Linked DNA regions of Notamacropus eugenii. The protein of the gene in region 2 purifies or fractionates together with the protein of the main gene of each other region. This does not show direct contact. Links are inferred from orthologs where the notes say so. Each region holds a gene or a part of one and is shown on either strand. Other genes may lie near its edges.

Region 1 (7,261 bases), about 200 Mb from region 2:
GCTTTCTCTTCCCACTCAGTGCTTGACTCTCACAAACTATCTCAGGATTTAATCATCAAATTCACCCAAGACCCATTCCAAATTCTCTAACAACTTAGGCCTCACCCCAATCCCACACCTGCCTATCCCCAGAAACCCGCACCTGCCAAACACGAACAAAGCCATCAGTGCCCCCAGTGGCAAGCAAGGTATTATCATGATTGAAACACACAGTCTTCTGCAGTGGGTCAGAGCCAAAGTCTGTCTGCACAGACTGCAAGTTCTCCACATTCAGCTCCACCTCCTCTCGCTGAGTTGATGCCCCAGTTTCTTGTGTTTCAGTGGTAGCTCCTGTCCCCTTCCTTTGCCTTGGGCCCTGCTCCTGGGAACCTGCAATCACAAATTGTGGTTCTAGATTTCTCAATAGTTCCATTTGGCTGGTCTCTGCAAATTCTACCATATGTCATAGGAGGAGGACAGTGATGTAGGTTTGTAGAGATGAGATGTTTCTCCTCATCAGGTCCAGGGTGTAAGTAGGTAAGGTAAGAGAAAAGTCAAAAGGGGGATTCACTAGTTCCTTTCTTGGGAGCAGTTTGAGATAAGGCTTCTCACCTGCATCATCTTGTTTGTCACTGGTCTCCTGCTCTTGAGGTCTGAATTGAAGGAGCTGACAGCTAGCATCCTGCCCTGCAGCAAGAATATTGCCTGCAAGGGCAAGGTTCATGGTGGCCTTAGTCTCGGTGTCATGGGAATGCAGCAAAGAGGCACTCAAAGCTCCACCAATCTGTTCCAGTTGCAAAAAGTGCTGTGGAAATAGAACAAAGTGAGGTCTGCTAAGCCCGTGCCCAGGACAGCCTCAGGGCTCAAGGAGTTTTAAGTCTCCTAGGACTCATCAGGATTCATTTTCAAGGAAAGTCCCTGGAAATTCCAATTCCTGGCAAACCTCTCCAAGGAAGGCTATCTGCTTCAGTTGATTACAGGGGTAAAACCTGCAAGTCCCCAGAAGCTCTGATCTCTTAAAACCTCAGAAGGGAAACTTTAACTTGGCCGTGTGCATTTCCCTTACTGGAGTGAAGGAAGTGGTGAAGTTTTAGTTTTGCTTGCACAGACCGATGGCAGTGAAAAACCACAGCAGGCACTGCAGACATTCTGCTTTGAACCCAGCTAAGCTCCCTGTCCGGGCAGGGGTACATCAATGCCACAGGGCAGGAAACAGACAATGAGAGGGAGGGGAGAAACGACAGAGCTCAGCAATGCAGGGTGAGGAGTCTATCAGTTTTGGGGTCTCTGGTGGCACGTTATACTAGACACTGGTGGGGGGGCACCAGGGGCCTCTAAAACATAGGGGGGCGCAAACGTCACCGGAAAGTGAGAGGGAGGAGAGGGGCCCCGGGTAGCCGGTGACAGGAAGGAGAGAGAGGTGGTCCCGGATTGGGGAGTGAGGCGGATCGACCCCGGGGTCCCCTTCTGGTCGGGCCCGGCGGCTCACCACTCCATTCTTGATGCCAGTCTTGGCCGCGCCGCCCCCGCCCGCGGTGATGAGGAGGCCGGTGCTGGGTTCGACCCGCAGCGCGTACAGAGGGAATGGCGCCCGGTACAGCTCCGGCGCCCGGCGCCGTCCCATCGTCCAGCCTGCACGGCTCACAGCGGGCTCATGCCCGGTGCTCGCTCGCTCGCTCGCTCAGCCCACCCTGGATGTCTCCCCGAGGACTCCGCTCCACGCTCGGCTCCGACCCCAGCCCAAGAGCAGCTTCCTCTTCCCACCGCCCAGTGAACCCAGGCTACAAACGCCCTCACTGCGCAAGCGCGCCCATCTCATGGCCTCTCATGCGCAGGCGCAGGGTGACAGTACACGTCAGCACAATCTGGCCACCTTTCGCCGAGACGTAGGTCACGTGAGCAAGGGCACCGAGGTCTGAGGTTCCTCTGTACGCCTGCGAGGTCCGGCCATTTCTGTGCAAGGCACCGGAAGTCTCCTTTACAACCACTCCTGGAAGAGTAATGACGTGTACGGTTCCGGTACAGCTTCAGTGCACGGGATTGGGGGCGTGAATTCTCGCGAGAAAACTCAGTAGGGTGCTTCCCTGAGATGGAATGGCTCAACCTTCCCTCCCCGAAGGCCGAACAATTGTGACTTTTTCTTCATATACTGACATTTCCCTCTCTCTTTAGCTAACGTTTACTTATCCCTAAAGTTTGCCGAGCACTTGCACGCCTTAGTCTCTGTTGTTCCCCCCACAAGCCTCCGGCACAGGTCTTTTAATCTCATCCCCCGTTTTACAGATAAGGAAACTGAGGTTACGTGTTTTTCGTACGTAGAGTCACGCCGCGAGTGGGGACCCGGCATTCCAGTGCAGTCATTCTCGTTTCCAGAAGCTCGGAGGAGGACCCAGAGGGGAGGCCCTCATTTACATCCATCTCTCCATATAGTTCGTTCATTCATTCAGTAAAACTCGCTAACCAGTGGCCCTAAGAAGCGGTAGCATCCGAAGCTTCGGACCTCCTTCCCCCCAGCCCCAAACCGTCCCGACGGGGGGGGCTAAACTAGGAGGAGGGGAGCCAACCAGCCACAAACCTGTCGGGGTATTGGGGGGGCGTGGACCCCCAAGCACAGGAGGACGTTCCCTGGGGGAATAGGCAGGTGAGAAGCTTGTTCCAGCGGGCGTGAAGGCTGCTGAAGGAAGCAGGTGCTTGGAGCCTGGTTAGACGCCCTAGACACCGCCCCCTCATCCGGTCCATCCGGGGTAGCCTTGGCTTCTGTCCTGCACATGGACTTCAGGACTCGGTGCAGCTCTGCTTCCCTTCAGTCCAATTCACCCCAAAGTCAAGATGACCTCTGATGTCAATCGGTCCTTTAACAGCAGCCTTTAAGCACCTACTGTGTGGTGGCTCAGGCAGAGCTCCTTCAGGAGCTCCAGAAATCTGGAGAGTGAGAAACCATGTTGCCAATGTTTCCATAACTTGTTATTTTGTTGCATTTTATACCGTTTTGTTACTTGATATTCACTTGCTGCTGCCGCTGGTGGAGCGACTTTTTTACTCTGTGTACTCTATGAGGTCGTGCGATAAATCCTGATTGGCCCGAAAAGAGTGGGGAGTAAAGTTTAATGTAGAAGAGGAGAGAATTGCTATAGCATTATTATTCTTTTAACTCAAAGCCAGGTAGATTTTGGGATAGTCATTTGGGACCCTGTTACAGCTACACACGAACACATATATGTATAATGTTTTTGAGGTTTACAAAGTTATTTCTTCACCACAACTCTGGGAAATAAGTAGTACAAGTTTTATTAAATGGGGGGATAATAAATTCTACAATATTCTGCCATGGTTAAAGCACAAGTCAAATTTAGTTGGCGTTCAATTCCAAAAGTCACATTTTAGGAAAAATATTAATCAGCTATTGAGTGTCCAAAGAAAGGTTACCAAGTAGACCTCAAATCCTGCCACACGAGGAGAAATTGAAGGACTTAAGGATGCTTAAGGCAATGTGGACCTGATATTTTTAAGTATTTGAAGGGTTGTTATTGGGAAGTGATTAGATTTGTTAAGGTACCAAGAGGCAAATTTAGGTTGGATATCTGAAAAAACTTCCTAACAGTCATTAACTGTTTTCAGTCATGTTCAACCCTTCATGACTCCTTATTGGGGGTTTTCGTGGCAAAGATACTGGAGTACTTTGCTATTTCCTTTTCCAGCTTCATTTTACAGATGAGGAAACTGAAGCAAACCGTCACACCTAACTCCAGGCCCCCTAACACTACTTTCTTTACCACCCTCTAACACTTAGAATTATCCTAACAATTAAAACTATCTAAAAGTGCCTTGATACTGGGTTCTCTCTCACTAGAACTCTTCAAGCAGGGGCTTGATGGTTACTTGTCAAGGATACTAGAGAGGGGATTTGGGTGCAAATTGCATTAGCTGGCCTTTTAAGTCCCTTCCAATTCTGAGAATCTATGATTCTGTTATCCCCATTGTGTAGATGAGGACATTGGTGCTCAGACAGGTTGAGGGGTCTTGCTCAGGATGACACAGCTAGTAAACAGCACAGATGAGGTTGGAGGATCAGAGATTTAAAATTAGAAGGGACCTCATAGGACCTATGACATTGGTCATCTAATCCAGTCTTTTCATTTTACAGATGATGAAACCAAGCACCAGAGAGAAGTTAAGTGAATTGCTCAAGGTCATACAGGCAGGAAGGATTTGAACCCGATGCAACCAGAATTTCTGTACCACTGTATGAGAATCAGTTAGAACTGACTTGCAAGTCTAATTATTTTCTATTATATCATATTCTTATCATATATAATACGGTGTCCTTTGGAAAGGACCATGAACTTGAGGATAGAATTACTTCTACTGGGAAGAACTCACATTTATAGAGAGCTTTTTGATGTTTACAGAGACTTTCCTCATAATAACCATAAGAGGTAGATAGGGGTATTCAAGGCCAAGAGGTTTATTGAATTGCCCAGAGTCACAGAGCTGATGAACGTAGGAGATATGAGCTTAGGCCTTCGGACACCAAGCTCTACACTCCTTCCACTATATCGTACTACCTTACCTAATTCTCATAAGTGTCATTGAAAGAGGACTATGTATTTCTTTGCTTCAGCTCCACATCTGTATCTGGGACTTTTGACTGGAGAAAATAAGGTGCTGGGAATTGGGAGAGACTGGGCATTCCACTTCACGAGGTGCGTGGGGGGGAAGGGATTGGGAGTACTTATACCAACACTGCTCATAATGATACATTCATACATACACACATTGTTCTGTAGCATTCTCTTTATTGTGGACTACAGAATGAGGGCCAAGTGCTGGTGGTTGTAGGGAAACTCTATAGCACCCTTTGGCCATTTTTAGCCCGGGGACAGTAGACTCCATAAAGGACTCCCAGGATTCCTGGATGGAGAGTAGACATGGACCCCACCCAGCCATCCCTTCAGGGTGTCCCTTGGGCTCCCAGTACTTTGGGGCCTGGGCCGAAATAAAGGGAATGGGGCCCGGGCTGTTCCTAGGCAGATTCGCCCAGGTTCTTGCTTGGAGATGAAGTGTGGGTGTGTGCCTCTGGGCATATGGGGGCATGGGCAGGAGGGAAAGGGCTGGCCTTTGGGAAAGCAGGACCAGGGTCTGGGACCTGCAGATGTAGAGACTCTGGGCAGGGAATGCAAGGTGGGAATCGAGGCTCTGGGGCTGGGAAGCTTTCTTCCTTGGGGCATTGGACCTCGACCAGATACTCCAGCTCCTCGATCCCTCTCTTGGGTAATAGTTCCAAGGCTTGGGCCTGATCCCGTTGCAGGCGCAGGCCGAAGCCGATGCCGATGTGGAGTGGCCCAGACCCCAGTGCCAGCCCTTGCCTGGAGGGCAGCAGTTGTGGGAAGGCAAGGAGTTGGGGTCCAGGCCAGCGGCTGGGGGCTGGACAGGAAGACCCTCTTGGTTTGCGGCACACCAAACATATAGGATACTCCACGGCTGGAGCGGGTCCAGCATGACCCTGCCATAGGCGCTGCAGCAGCAGTAACCGCAGATCCCTGGCAATGCGACGGCGACCAAGAAGTGCCACCAGGTCCTGGGCCAGAGCTGCAGGGCCCCCCTGCTCCCCAAGCCCAGTCCCGCATGGTATGCATCCCCCCCCAATTCTGGGGGCTGTCGCACTATTATGAACCTGCCTAAGCCTTTCCCTTCTCCTTTGGCAGTCCTGGAGGCCACCAGAAGAGGAGGATAGACTTCCTTTTAATGAAGGAGTACAGTCAGGGGGCTGTGAAGGAATATAGGGAGGGGGCAGTGCTTGGGGTAGGCAGCGTTTGAGGGGAACCTGGCAATATGTATGGGGATAGGTTTTATGGTAAAGTTGAGGTTGGGCAGCTGATCTGGGCCAGGAGGTGGGGCCCAAGAGGAGCTCAATACCAGGCTGAGACCTTGGGGACAGAGAGATCTGTAGTACCAGTTGGTTGTTGTGCCTGGGCACCATCTCCTTTGTTTCAGGAGGTGGTGGATGTAAAGAAACCAAGGGTGATGGGATCACAGTGGAATAAGACTGGTGTGGCTGACTGTAGACTTGCCGGTGCTGATGGCCTGCAATGTTTTGCTCCAGGCGATTATAGGCCTCAGGGCTAAGTAGCGTTGGAGTCACAGGGCTCGGTAGGGGTAGGGTCTCAGAGCTCTGTAGTGCTGGGCTCTCAGGGCTCTGTAGTGCTGCAGGGAGGGAGGGTTGGACTTGGAGCAAAATGGGAGCTGGTGATGGAAGCAGGTGCCAGGCTAGAGATAGGGGGACTGCTCCCAACGTGTAGCTCCGGGGTTCTTGGGGGGGCATGAGCTGCGCCCCCCCCAGGAGGCCAAGCTTAAGTTGGTGTTCTGTCTCTCTCTTTAACTTTGGTCTTTGATAAGGGTGTACAGGGCCTTGAGATTCAGAGCTGTCACTTAGGGTATGAGGGGTAGCAGGGATTTTCTGAATAGAGTACTGCCGCCAATAAGGACAATTCATCCGTTGGGACCTGCCAAAAAAACACAGGTCTTCAAATCTGCATGTCCATATCCACTTTTCTTTTTCCTCTTCATAGGACAAGTGTTGTTCTCCTGACACTATCAGTTTCATTCATGTTTTCCTAGAGTTTTATTTCCCTCCCTCCTACAGCCCTACAACTGAGTATTAGCCACTGCTCACCAAGACGTCCCCAAATCCACGAGTTTGGGCCTGCTAGCTACCTTTGGAATTACAGGAGCTGTAAGGACAGACAGACTTAGTTCAGAAATTTTGTGTTAGGGTATATATGAACTGATAAGGTGCTTGAGTAGAAAATCTGGGAGCAACTGGAGAGCTGGGGTATGATAGAGCCAAAAAGAAGGAATGAAGAATGACCTAGTACTGACGGTCCTTACCTGGATGGGGACTCCTTGAGGTCCGATTCACAATATTCTTCAGTCGTGAGGGATTCTAAGCCAGAGGAGAACTTGGTTAATAGCTGTAGACCACCTATCCTCAGCCCATGATTCCCTAGATCAAAGCTTAGTTTAATCTACATTCAAGATCCCCCCCCCGCCCCGAGTTCATGCCCTCTACCTTCTGCCAGTTCTTTATTTTCCTTATCCCCAGTTGTCATCTCTCCAAACCCCAACTGCTTTCCTGTTCCTAACTTTCCTGACTGACCGCCCTCACCCAGCTAAAATGGCTCAGTAGCCCAAGCAGGACAAGCAGCAGCAGCAGGGGGCCCAGCAGGAATGAGACATCTAAGAAAGAGAGACTTTCTCCAAGGGGCGGCAACGCCGCCCCCAT
Region 2 (7,048 bases):
GGAGAAAGAGGAGGGAGGTAAGGAAACGAATATGAACCTGTGATTAATGTTGACAGTGCTGGATGGCAAGATTGCTGAGGTATATGGCTGGAAACATGGTCTGGGACCAGGAGGTCTACTGATTTACCAACTAGGACAGCTAAACTCCAGTGAAAGAACCTCAAAACTGAGAGATTAAGTACCTAAGGTCATACAGAACAATACAAAAAGTTAAGTGCTACTTAGCACAGTGCCTAGCACATAGTAAGTGCTGATTTGTCCTTTCTTCCTTGATGTTCTCTTTTTTTCTAGGTTTCCAGGACACTGCTCTCTCCTGGTTTTTCTCCTTCCTATTTGACCTCTTCTCAGTCTCCTTTGTTGGATCCTCTTCCAGACCACACACCATCCAGAACACAACCCTGTTCCTTAGGGCCTGCCCTGTGCCCTCTTCTTTTCTCTCCCTACACTACTTCACTTGGTGATCTCACCAATGATCATAGATTTAATTACCATCTCTGTGCTAATTATTCTCAGATCTACCTTTCCTGCCCCAACACCTCTGCTGACCTTCAATCTCACATCTCAATTTCTTTCAGACATCTCAAACTGGATGTTCAGTAGACATATTAAACTAACTATGCCCCAAACAGAACTAATTCTCTTTACCCCTAAATACTCCACTTGTTACCCTGTAGAGGGTAACAGCATCTTCCCAGTCCCTTGGGCTCCCAACCTATCCTCAACCCCCATATCTAAGATTCTGCCAAGGCCTACCTATTTCACCTCTGTAACATCTCTCCTATATGCCCCCTTCTCTCCTCTGAAACTTCCACCATTCTAGTGCAAGCCCTCATTACCTCATGCTTAGACTATTTTTACCTTTTTGATATTTGTTAATATTCCTTTATTACACTTAAAAATCATATGGCTAGTCCTGGTACTGTCCTCCTTAAGTTCTGGTTTGTATATTTATTTTAGATATTTATTGCATATCTCTCCCATTCCCCTGTCTTCCCCCAAGGAACAATAAAAATAAGAAGTGATGAAGAGGCAGACTTCAGAAATAAAACCCTCATATAAATATGCATGGTCCAGCAAAACAAATTCCCACACTGGTCATGTTTAAAAAGTGTGTATTTCATTCCACATTTTATGTCCATTACTTCTCTGGTAGGAGTGTGCTTCATCTGTAATTCTCTGGCATGTTGGTTTATCATTGCAATGATCAGAATTCTAAAGTCATTTAATGTTGTTTTTTTTATAATGTCATTATTATGTAAACTGTCCTAGTTCTGTTCACTTTACATCTGTTCATAGTGGTCTTCTGTTTTCCTCTAAAACTGTACATTTTGTCACTTGGAATAATACAATAACATTCCATTAAATTCACATACCATAATTTATTTATCCATTCCGTAATGGTAGACCTCAATGTCCAGTTTAGGGAAGCTATAAAAAGAGCCAAAATAAATATTTTTTTGTTAATAAATATTTCATGTTAGATATTGGGACAAAATGAGACACTCACAATCACTGAATAGCTAACCAAAGAAGGTTTACTTTGCTCTAACAACAAGGATATGTAACCAGGATGCAGTAACACTTTGCAATAATGCCCAGGTTCTAGGTTTATTAGCTTTTGCATACTTGCATTTTAGGGGTATTTGGTCATACTAGCCAAACTGGTTTCACTTGTCAACAATTTGTAAAGTGCTTTGCAAATCTTAAAGTGTTGCATAAATATTAACCATTATTATTATTATCAATATTATCTAAAATTCCAAGTGGAAAATAAGTTATTCCAGACTAGTTCCTACTTAGAACCTGTTGGTTTCACTGTGAAACACGATTTAGCCTTTCTTTTCCCACAGGGATATCTTTAAGTAGTCCACACTGCTATTCCATGGAAAACTGGAGTTTTCCCCAGAGACACATGAGTTTTAAACCACACACTAGGCCTGAAATGACTTGAATAATCTTTCTCTATCATTTAGACACTTAAAGTGATTAATAACCAAAACCATAGGATTGTCTTTCAATCAACCAGGTCAAGATTAAATCCTGGGAATCTGGAGAGGGTTTTAATCCCTTGACTTATTTTCTTTTCCTGTATATGCCACACTAGACACTGGCTTCCTCCATTTCCCTCTCCTTCCCTCTCCTTCCCCCTGTTATGTGTCACAAAATGGCTATGATTGATAATAGTTTTATGTAAAGGACAAGATGTCTTCAAAGATTCTAATTAAATCAGGAGTTATATTTACACTTAAAGAACCATCAACCAATAAACATTTATTTAGCATCTACTGTGTGCCAGGTAGTGGGTTAAGCACTTCACAAATATTACCTCACCAAATATTCACCAAATATTACCTGGGAAGTAGGTGCTATCATTATCCTCATTTCACAGTCAAGAAAATCAAATTATGTGACTTGCTCAGGGTCACACAGCTAAGAAGTGTCTGAGACTATTTGAACTCAGGTCTGTTCTCACTCTAGGCCCAGCTCTCTATCCACTCTACTGCTTAGTTTCCTGGTATGTAATAGTAAAAATAATGAAAAGGCTAGCATTTATATAGAGTTCTAAGGTTTGCAAAGTGCCTTAATGATACCATTTGTTTGATCTTTCCAGAACTGTGAGGTAGGTGCTATTTTTATCCCCTTTTACAGATGGAGAAACTGGGGCTCAGAGAGGTTTAATGACTTGCCCAGTGTCGTTCAGCTAGTATCCGAGGCTGAATTTGAGATCAAGTCTTCCTAACTCCAAGTCCAGGGATCCAAATCCACTCTGTAAGTTAGCTACCAACAGTTGTTTCCTCAGGAGCTGCTACTAATGTCAAACCCACAGTGCAAAGAGTCTAATTTCCCTCTTTCATTTCCATGCCACTCTTCTTTCTGTTGCAAATCAGTCAAAAAGCCCCTGAAATGGCAGCCCTGCTAGCCCCAGCTCAGAGCCTGTAATGGTCTTTCCCAAGTTTGGAAAATAGAATTTTTTCTTTCCAGGACTACAGTTCTGAGAATTCACAATCAAGCTGTTTACCTTTTCATTGTGGGGAGAAACGCAGGTTGCCTGTTTAAGACATAGGTCCTTTTTTGTTTACTGCATATCCTGAAAAGCTTCTGACTTAACCTACAGGCTCCTTGCTTAGCAAGGGTGGAAGGACTTGTAGATGGTGTTTGGGGTTATTTATTTCTCTTTGTCAGGAATTGGTCCTTTGATGGCACTGGAGATTGTATATGTAATAAGATAACTTTGGCATGAAAACTTTTTAACCCCAAACAAAACTTATCTAACTTTTGTAATTCTGTATTTGTCATTTTTGTGGTGGTGTTTTGTTCTGCTTTAGACACTAGAGGGAACTGTGACTTTATGAGATTCTTCTCTCAGACACTAATGGAGATATCCCACAAACTGATTTCGTATGTTAGAACCTAAGCAAATGTATTGAAATCTTGCAAGAAAAGAGATCCTTTTAAAACATTTCCCAGATATTGAAACATGACACTTTACTTCTATTTAGTCCCACAGATTGAATGTTTTTCAAACTTTTTACTTGCCATGTTTTAGCTACTATTGTATGAAATTAAAGTCTGAGTGGTTTTTTTGTTTAGATTAAGTAGGAATAAATATACCTTCCAATATAATTTAAAAATTACTTCTTATAATTATATTTTTAACAGCTTTCCCCATGATAGTCAGAAAAATGGATCATTTTCTTTAGACAAGTTATTACTGACTCTATACATCCAGCCTACAACTGAAAGCAGCATTATACACATGTAAGTAATCAATTAATATTCATTGATTGACTTTTCTGAAGACTAACAGGAAGAGGTTGTGTTGCTATGCATTCCAAGAAATCCATGCTGAAAGCAGTGTAACTTTAAATGAGGTAGATTTATATGGGCTGCCTTTATAAAAATATTAGTCAAAGTAAACAAATCTGTTAATAATTAAATACTAGTGTGTTATATAAATAGCTGTCAATGCAGATTGAGAAAGAGAGCATTTATCCAGTAAGCTCAACTGGCAAACAGAAAGGAAATATATCTGCCAAAGGCTTTTAAAACCTTTTTGTTATAGCAAGTGAAAAAAATGCCTCTCTTGTTTAGGAGGCAGTATTCTCGTGTGAATGGTACATTTTGACTGTTTTTTGAATTCCTACTTTCTGTTTTTGTCATGGGACAGTTTGGAGTCTACAGAATTTTTCTTCTAGTAATTTCCTTGATAAAGAGCTCGGAGAGTACAAAACTGCTGGCAGAGTTTAAAAACTGCGGAGATGTGGAATGTGAAAGTAAGTATATGGAAAATAGCAACGTAAGTACATCGCATAAATATTAAAATGGAAATATTTGGTATAAATATTGGTATACCATTGGGAAAAAAATGAAGTTGTAAAGATTAGCTTTGTAGATTGCCTGTGAAAAATATTAGAAAAGAAGTGTTCTGTGGCATTACCTCACAGAAATGGTCAAAGGGTCAAAGTTTGGTATAAATTCAGATGACACAGAGGTCTTACCAGTTATCACAATCAAATTTGTTAGCATTTTAAAATGTACTTGTTTATTTACCATTTTATTTTCCCACTTATTCATTTTGTTTACTGGAGTACATAAAGACATTCTTGCTGATTTATATAACAAAAATTTTATTTTAATTTTTCAACTATGTTCTGAGTATCATTATTTCTCCAACAATTTAAAAAATATATTTAAGCCACCATGACTTATACTGGTGTGTGTGTGTGTGTGTGTGTGTGTGTGTGTGTGTGTGTGTATGTACAAATTTTAGCATCCCAGACCCTCAGGGATTCATGATTAATTTTTCATGTATTCCTTATGCAAACCTTTAGCCAATATCAAAGACTTCTCTCATGATTTTGTTTATGTATATGAGCAATGCAAGTTAGATTTTCTTTTTAAATCTACTACACAAAATATTTTGGTTATTGCATCTACTTTTAAGCTGACAGTATCATGCCCTACAATTTGCAAAATACTCTATTTACATTTATTGTTCCATGCTCACAGCTCTTTGAGGTGTAATAGTTGTTACTTTCCCCATTTTACAGACCTGGGACCTAATATTCTGAGTGATGAAATAAACTGCCCATGATCAACATAATCTGAAGTGTTCTCTTGAACCCAGGTCTCCTAATATTATGTGGTATAATTGTAGCCTAATAGATTAGAATGGCTTCAAATAAGTAATTATCGTCTGTCTTTTATGTAACCTTTATTTCTAAACTTTTGAAAAAGTACTTTTCTGAATCCTTTTTCTGAAAAGTAAACTAAAGTGAGGAACAAGATTTATCAGTCAACTGCTCATTTGTAATTAATTTCCTGTCTCAAATCTCTATTTTTCTCACATTTTCATATCTATAGAGTCATAGTTCAGACCAGTGATAGATATCAAATTCAAATATAAACAGGACCACTAAATTATATGTAAGAATCCTCTGGCTGCATATCGACCACATGTTAATTCTATTGAATTTTTCCCACTTATTCATTCTATCAAATTTTTCTTTATTTTCTTAAGTATTTCCCAATTCCATTTTAATCTAGTTTGGGCCAAATTTGGGAGTAGCCCACGGGCCTTGTGTTTGAAACCTCTGATTTTGATCAACAATAAAGAAGACATTCCAATTTGTGTAACTTTATGTGATATTTAAATTTAATTAGTGGTCTTATTAAATCAGTTTTTCACTGAGGAACATCACTACTCTAAGTATGAAATTATTTTAATGATTACAATATATACACATACCATACATTATGTTTGTATTAAAGGAATTAATCTTAGGCATTTGGTAAATTACTCATTCAACAGATTTTATTTTAAGTTCTCTTGTGAGCTGAGGGGAATAGGAAAGAAATGTAAAACACATTTCTTGCCTTCAACTTACTTATATAGATTAGAGAGCAAGACCTAACACCTATTAAATAATTGATACTACAATATGAGTAATGAAACATTAAGATCATAAATATAGAGAACAATTGATTTGTAGTAGAGTAGCTGAGCAAGGACTTAGCTGAACCCCAAAGGACTTTTAGTAGGATTTGTCAGAATTATTGGAAACCCCTTGAAATTTATCTAGTCAAACTCCTTCATTTTAAGAGTGAGGAAATTTCCCACAAAAGGAGAAATTTGCTCAACTTCATACAGCTAGATTTTCTAAATGGGTTCTTCTGACTCTAAATCTTTCCATATCATGATGGATGTTCAGATTTTGAGCCAGAAGGGACCATACAGATCAGTCCAATCCTCTCATTTTATAGATATGGAACTTGAGATGCAAATGGGATTAAGTGACTTGCTGAAGGCCAAAAATTTAGTAGAGATTGTATTTTAACTCCAGCTGTTTAAATCCAAATCCAGAACTTTTTCCATTATACAAACACTACTTAATTTTATTATTCTGAATTTACCAAACACCAAAAAGAACCCCAACACCTTACACATAGAAAGTAAAATGCAAAAATTAATTATAACTGAAATTATGTAACAAATTTTATACAGAATATTTTTTAAAAAGTTATATGATAAATTCAGCATGTTTCTTTCAAAGCTGTTTTGTCTATTTCCCTCTAAACTTTTTTATATTTCTGTCTGAGCATTTTTTAAGATGGTTCAATGACCTCTTTTGTTTCTTCTCTTTCTTTTTTTGCAACTCCTGTCTCCTTTCCCTACAAATAAAAATTGGAAAAACATAATCTTTGTAAAAACTAAGCACCATCAAGCAAAATAAATCATTAAAATCACCATATCCACATCCTTATCCTATACCTTGGGTCTACCAACCAATCTTCTATCAGGAGATGAAAAACAGTTTTTATCATCTAACTTTTGAAGTCTTGGCACAGGCAGGGAGAATATCGCAGTTACACGAACTAGTAATGCACATGGTGTGTTCAGAGGACATTAAAAAGATTATTGGATAGACATGAGAGGAAAAAGTTGGATATGCAGTAGGGAACCATTGGAGATTTTTAAATAGGGGAATTGTTTGATGAAATTGGTATTTTGAAAATGAATTTGGGAGCAGTTAGGTAGTGCAGTAGA
Region 3 (7,223 bases), on a different chromosome or scaffold from region 2:
TTAGCAAATTATCTGGAAAGAATGCCTTTGAGGTGCTAAGTCTTTGCCAAAATCTATGGCTTTGATCATAAGATAAGAAAAAGAACGCCTAAAACCAAAAGTTTTACACGAAATAAGCAGTTTTAAATATATCAAACACTAAGTTAATTTAATCAAAATTTACAAGGAAAGAAAATTCCTTTCTCCCATAAAGCAGATAGGGAGTAGCTAGGTGGCACAGTGGATAGAGTACCAGGCCTAGAATCAAGAAGACCTGAGCTCAAATCTGGCCTCAGGTACTTACTAGCTGTGTGACTCTGGGCAAGTCACTTAACCCTGTTTTTCCTCAGTTTCCTCATCTGTAAAATTAGCTGGAAAAGCAAATGGCAAACCACTCCAGTATCTTTGCCAAGAAAACCCCAATTGGGATCACAAAGAACATAAAGCAGATAGAGAAGCTGACACCAAAACAGCATTATGAAAAAAAATCATTGTTGGCAGACACTAAGGAAAAATTTAGACACAAGATCAGAGCATTCTATAGATTTGGTGCTGGAAGGGACCCTTTCAGGATAGCCCTTCTCATTTTGCACATGTAATCTGAGACCCAGAAAGGTTGTGACTTGCCTAAGGTCACAGAGATTATTAGACACAGGACTTGTTGCTCTAACACTGATTTAAATCAGGCAGGAACTCAGATCTGAGTTGATATTTTATTAGTTACCCCCCACATATATGTACATATGAATATGTGCTATGCATGTGCACATGTATAAATGCACATACATATACAATGCTACAAGTATAGGTATGTTTTGTGCATGTATATATGTTGTATATTTATATATAACTGTACACATATACACATTAGTATGCATACACAAGATTGCACATACAGTTAAAAACATGCTTATATTTGCAGCATAATATAGTGCGAGAAAAATATTCTGAATCAGAAGACCTGGATTCAAATCCCATCTCTAGGGGTAGTGGTTGTAGGACCCTAGGCCCTTAAGGTCTTAGAGTCCCAAGCAACCTTAAGACCATAAATTGCAGAATATTTCCTATTCTACAGAGGTCTGAACAAAAAGAAAAAAAAATCCCAAGCCTAAAATTAAAAATGCACACACTTTTTTCCCTAGTATATAAAAGAGCCAAGAAATGTTTACACAGTGGTTAAGGGAAAAGGAGAAGAAGAGCAGTGGTAAACACTCTATTCCTTTACTAAGCATAGACTAAAGTTCTGCATAAATTAATTTCTAACTATACTTTGGAATGAGACATGTATATATAATAACTTGTTTTAAGATCTGTTCCAAAAAAGTCACTTGAAAGAACAGAAAAGGCTGGAAGTTTTCATGTATTGCAAGTGGTCCCTAGGTTAACTTTTAGCAATTTGTTGACAATGTCAACATACAACTAATTGTATGTTGATTCTGCTTATTCCTCTTCCGGAGATACAATGATTCTTGTATTTCAAGTTATGGGACTTTTTTTTTTTTAAAGGTACCTGTATATGAAGAGTGGATGATGGATTTCTTAGCCTTTTCAGAATATTTTCTTATTCATCCTTGCATATTATAAGGGCCAAATCACTTGTCTTCTGGCACTTATGTCAGCCAGTTACAAATCCATTTGTTACAAGAGTTGTCAGACAAAAGACAACTAACAACAACACAAATGGCAAGAAATACTGGAATATTTTGGAGTTTTCACAAAAAAGTAGATGAAAGTAAAGTTACTTCAGGTTGTAATACTGATGGATTCTTTGTTTTTTAACTATTCAAAATTACTCATGACTACCTCCTCCCTCAGAACTGGCAAAACGACTTAAATAAATCAGAAACCCAGTTTTAACTAACTGCTTCAGCTTCCTTGCCTATTAAATGGGCTATGCCAAGAGTTGGTCTCCAGAGTGAAAGATAGGACCTTGCCTGCGTCTTGTTGGATAGACAAGATTTTTCACACAAGGACAAGATTCAGAGCTCAAGGATGTCCGATGGTAACAACAATGTAACGTGTTGGCACGTGTAGGTAATTTGGGATTAGCCCTTTCGGAAACCCAAAACACTTTTCAAAATACAACTAGCAAACAATTCCAGTAAGACTCGGAGAGGGCGGAAAAAGCAGCCCACGAGACTGCCTTAAACCTAGCAACCCATCTGGTTCCACAAATGGAGCAAAGGAGAGATTTTGTAACCGTGGAAGGGCTGAAGGCACTTTCTCCCCGGCTAAAGAATAAACACTGAGCTTTGAACACCGACAAAACCCAAAGAGGACTTGGATGTTAGGTTTCTTCATCTTTGGCGAAGGGAGGGGAGGCTGGAAGGGGGTGATCCGAGGCCATGCCAGCAGTTGGAGCGAAGGTGAGGGGCCATCTCTGCTCTCCCCTCTCTCGATTCGGGGGCCAAAAACTTGCAACAAGTGGCAGAAGCCGGAGAGCTGGGGTGCCGCGGTGGCAGGCTGAGGCGGAGCTGCGGAGACGCCCAGACCCAAGAACAGAAAGACCGGGGGAGGGGAAGGGCGCACTTTCTTCTGCCCCCTACAAGCGCCAGCTTGGCCTCCGCTGTCCAGAGCCCGCGGGCACAGACCCCGGAGCAGGCAGCTCGTCCTCCCCCCAGCCCCGCAGCCCCGCGTGTCCGCCCAATTCTCCTCCTCCCCCCATCCCGGCGGGCCCCGGCGCCCACTCACTGCTGCACTCCTCGTCCGAGCAGCGTTTCAGCTCCGCGAAACGCCGGTCCTCGCTTCGGTTCGCCTGACCCAGCCGCGGCCCGGAGGAAAAGAGGAGAAGCAGGAGACAGAAGGGCAGGCGCGGCGCTGCAGCCATGTTGGCGGGTCTGGGACTGGGACTGGGACTGGAGAGGTGAGGGGGGCGGAGGGAGGCCCCGGGCGCGGGGGACGGCGATGGCGAGGCGGCGGGGCGGCGGGGAGGAGAGAAGAGAAGGCGGGGGCGAGCGGCGAGGCTGGGACCCGCGTTTGGGGCGGAGGGAGAGCATGAGCAGTGCCAGGCAGACACGTCAGCCGCACCGGGGATGGAGAAGGATGGGAAGGGAGGGCTGGGGGAAGAGGAGAGGAGGAACCGGAGAGAGGGCTGCATCTCTGCGGCCTACGAGAGGGGCGGGGACATGCCGGGGAGACCCCGTCACCCGGCCTTTGTTCCGTCACCTCTCCCTCGTCCTATCCGTTCGTGCTGCCGCCGGCATCCCGCACCCCTCGGCCACAGATCGCCTCTGCTCCGCGGCCCTGGGCCCGCCGGCATCCCGCACCCCTCGGCCACAGATCGCCCCTGCTCTCCTCCGCGGGTCCATTACCCATCTTGGCCTCCCTCCTGCCATCCCCTTGTCCTGACCGCTGTTATTCTTGACGTGGAAACAACTCCGCAATTCCTCGCTTTTCACTTTGAATCCCCCACCCCCAGGGCATCCTGTCTTGTCACATGGGATAACCAAAGGGAAGAGGGGTTTGGGACGGTCTGGGATGGGCCAGGCTAACGAGAAGGGACCGGGGATGGAGCACCCTCCCTGCTAAAAGGGGAGTTTTAAAAGCAAGAGAAGTCTAGAGTCATGAGAGAATTTTGAGTAATCTCACAAATACCTCTAAATTAGATGGATATCTCTGATTTAAATTTGCCTTAATCTACTGTAATTTTGTAGTGGAGTTAATATAGTATATGTACAGTACCGTATTTCACTGCATAATGGTTGCAGGTTTTATGCCAATTTTTTTTTTTTTTTGCAAAAATGTGGGGCACAACCATTACATGAAGTTTTTTTTTTTTTTGTGCTGATATTTCTTAAAAAATCATTTATTACTACACTGTCTTTGGTGCAAGATTAGGATGCATGGAATACTCATGAATTTATATTAAAATTGAATACTGACAGGAGTGCTGAGAATTCTAGGGCTCACACAGCAGGAGAGATAAATGTCTATCTATATGCCACTGGTGGATATATTGTTACTGTTTACCTTTTAAGTAAATGAAGAACAGAATTATACAATGTGTAGCAGCAAGCACCCCAGCATACACAGGAGGGCCTGCTGTGCAGGTTCTTAGATCTGCTTTTCTAAAAGAAAGCAGCTTTCAAGGGGTCAACAATCTAATGACATTCACCAATACAGAAAATACAAGCAGAGAAATAAAGACCAACAGACGGGGGCTTCTAACTGTCTGACCATAAGCAATACATACATCAGAGATCAACAGACAGATCTGTCTAACCATGCATACATAGTTACTAGAGAGAGAAGCACCAACATCTGTTTTTTCAAAAGAGTGGGGGCAGGGCTACCCAGAGTCTCATCTGGCACATGAACCTTCTTCTAAGCCCCCAAAGCAAAACCTCACCTCAGAGTATATATACACTTTTCAGAGCAGAGGGCACAGCCCTTGTGATCCAGTGCCTCATTAATTAACAAAAAGTGTGGGCATTCCTACAAAACAAGCCTCCTCTAATCAAGCTTCCCTTAATAGGCTACAGGTGAGGCCTATTAATGAGTGGGGAAGATCTTTAACATAAATCTCATTAACATTACACCATTTCACCATTAAGTGATGAAAGGTTATAAACCAATTTTTGAACTGAAAAAAAAGAAGGTACCATGATTATGCAGTAAATTATAATACTCATATGGATAGTGACCCTAGAGGAAGAGTTCCATTATACTTGGAAGGTGTGTGTATGTGTATATAAATACATGTATGTGTATGTACACATACATATTTATACACATATATTATACTGTCTATATGTACATATACATATATACACATATAACATGTGATATGTATGTATGCTAGAAAGGAGGCATCTGTGATGTGTCTGCATTTAGACCTAGAACCTGGGTTTGCATTGTCTTAACTTTGAGCAGGTCACTTAAACTTTGAGTCGATCTCAGTTTCCTCATCTGTAAAATGAGGGAATTGAGTTAAGTGACTTTATGATGACCTTGTCATCTCTAAGGCCCCTTCCCAGCTGTGAATCCTACACCCTTAGATACGTTTTCCATAACTAGCTCTAATGATGCTGAATCTTGAGGGGGGATAATATTAGTAAAATGTGCCATCAGAATTGGTCATTTTGAAACAAAACTAAAAGAAACTTAAAGAAATCAGTACTGTAATGTTCTTTTTTTATGCTTATACAAATAAATAGCTTGTTACCGACTGTGTATTTACATATTCAACAAGAACCTATGACACTGTAGTTCCAAGAACACGTGTACTGTTGACTTAGGGTGGAAGTCTGGCAAATCTTCAGAAATGCAACTTTAACTTTTAGATAGAGGAAGTCTCTAGTTTATAATCTGTACCCCTAAATTATGTAAGTCATTTCATTAGAACTTGTAATTAATTTTTCCCTATAAACAAATGGTGCTTAGAATAGCCTAGAAAAGTCTATTTAGCTCATATTGTAGCTTTTTTGAGGGGATTAGTGAAACTCTGTACACATACAATGAAAATAGTAGAAAATAATTCAGTCTAAATATTCATTTATGTGCAAAACACTGTAGCAGACACTGAAGATACAGAGAGATGGGCCACAGGCCCTAGTCTGAGGAAGTTTACAAATCTAATAAGGGAAAGGACCAAAACCAAATAATTACAATACAAGGAAGACTGAAATGAGGAAGTATCTATAGTGGAAAGAGCATTAATCCTGGAGTGAGAGGGACAGGGTTTAAATCTCACCTCTTATACTACTTATGTGCCCTAAGGCAAATACCTAAAGTCTCACTCAGCTTCAGTTTTCTCATATCTAAAATGAAGGGATTGAACTAAAAATAACATCTGAGATCCTTTCTAGATCTGTGAGCTGTGATCCCAAAGTACAAAAGGAAAGGTCCAGTCCAAGTGTTATGAGAATTTTGAGACAGAAGAGATCCCTTTCACCTGAGGTGTCAGAGGCCTTATGGAGAAGGTAGCATCTGAATTGGACCTTGAAGAAAGGGCAGTACTTCAACAAATGAAGAAAGCTTGACAGGGAATCCATTCCAGCCATGGGGGACAACATCTTCAAGGCATGGAGATATAAGGGACAGAATGATAGTGGAGAATAAAGAGCAGTCCAGTATTCTTCATGAAGACTGCATGAAAACTACTTATAGGTAGTAGTGTGAAATAAGGCTGCATAGATGGGTTGAAGCCAGATTGTGATGCACCTTTCCAGCTCTAGATCAGTCAATAAATAATTATCAAACAGAAGTGCTAGTCTATTGATCTATCTTGATTTATGATTTAGATAGTTAAATTATTTAAACTTTAACTAGTTAAAACTAACTACAATTAAAAGAAAACCTTAAAGAAATCAACTTTTCTTATGATATAAGTAGCTTGTAAGCATCTATATATTTACTCATTCTACAAGTTAGTTTTATTTATCTGTTTCACTCTATGATGCTTTGCTAGAGTCAGACTATACTTTATTTTTTAGGCAATAGGAAGTCTAAGAAATAAAGTCCTAACAAGATCTTTTTGTATAAACATACCATGATCACAGCAATGCATTAGGATCATCCCATGAATATTGCTGTAGAGGTTAGATAGAGAAAAAGATGGGAAGAGGGGCAAGAATGCCAGTTAAGAGCCTGTTACGATAATGTAGAGGACAAAAGTAGAGGACTTGAACTAGAGTGGTTATTGAAGGAGTTAAAAACAAAGTCTAGAAAGATATTATGGAAGTAGAAAAGGAAGGATTTAGGTACAGGTGAGGGATAAGGAAAGAGTTTTGTCTTAACCATAAGGTTATGATGTTGTAGTGCTGCTAACGAAACAAAACAAAAAATAATGACACTGAATAAGATCCTTTTAAAAAATTCATCTTGAATGCTATTTCATGATTGAGGAAATAATTTTAATTAAAAGATAAATAGGGAGACAATCTAAATGAGAAGGATGAGTATTTTAAAAAATATAAATTGCCCAGATTAACAGAAGAGGAAGTTGAATACTTAAACAACCGCATCTCAGAAAAAGAAATTGAACAAGCCGTCAATGAACTCCCTAGGAAAAAATCTCCAGGGCCACATGGATTTACAAGTGAATTCTATCAAACATTTAAAGAACAGTTAATTCCAATATTATATAGACTATTTTTGAAAATTGGGGAAGGAGTCCTCCCAAATTCTTTTTATGATACAAATATGGTTTTGATACCTAAACCAGGAAGAGACAAAACAGAGAAAGAAAATTATAGACCAATTTCTCTAATGAATATTGATGCAAAAAGTTTAAATAAGATTTT

What was found. The genes of interacting proteins can lie anywhere in the genome.
Region 1: the proteins of MIA2 (region 2) and PREB purify together in Homo sapiens (affinity purification with western blotting; 3 studies listed by BioGRID and IntAct, with this or other methods). This does not show direct contact. The link is inferred for Notamacropus eugenii from reciprocal best matches to the Homo sapiens genes MIA2 and PREB.
Region 3: the proteins of MIA2 (region 2) and MIA3 purify together in Homo sapiens (affinity purification with western blotting; 6 studies listed by BioGRID and IntAct, counting the BioPlex papers as one, with this or other methods). This does not show direct contact. The link is inferred for Notamacropus eugenii from reciprocal best matches to the Homo sapiens genes MIA2 and MIA3.

The regions. Positions count from the first base shown.
Region 1 is NC_092872.1:528,417,122-528,424,382, forward strand, and holds the start of PREB (guanine nucleotide-exchange factor SEC12), read right to left. Parts: upstream 3,100-7,261; 5' UTR 1,604-3,099; coding exon 1,469-1,603; intron 785-1,468; coding exon 592-784; intron 370-591; coding exon 143-369; intron 1-142. Other genes in the region: PRR30 (proline-rich protein 30), read right to left, coding at 5,003-6,482, 6,653-6,710, 6,868-6,922, 7,145-7,261.
Region 2 is NC_092872.1:331,985,144-331,992,191, forward strand, and holds the start of MIA2 (melanoma inhibitory activity protein 2), read left to right. Parts: upstream 1-3,975; 5' UTR 3,976-4,159; coding exon 4,160-4,274; intron 4,275-7,048. UniProt on the Homo sapiens protein: Plays a role in the transport of cargos that are too large to fit into COPII-coated vesicles and require specific mechanisms to be incorporated into membrane-bound carriers and exported from the endoplasmic reticulum.
Region 3 is NC_092873.1:414,066,226-414,073,448, forward strand, and holds the start of MIA3 (transport and Golgi organization protein 1 homolog), read right to left. Parts: upstream 3,100-7,223; 5' UTR 3,077-3,099; coding exon 2,671-3,076; intron 1-2,670.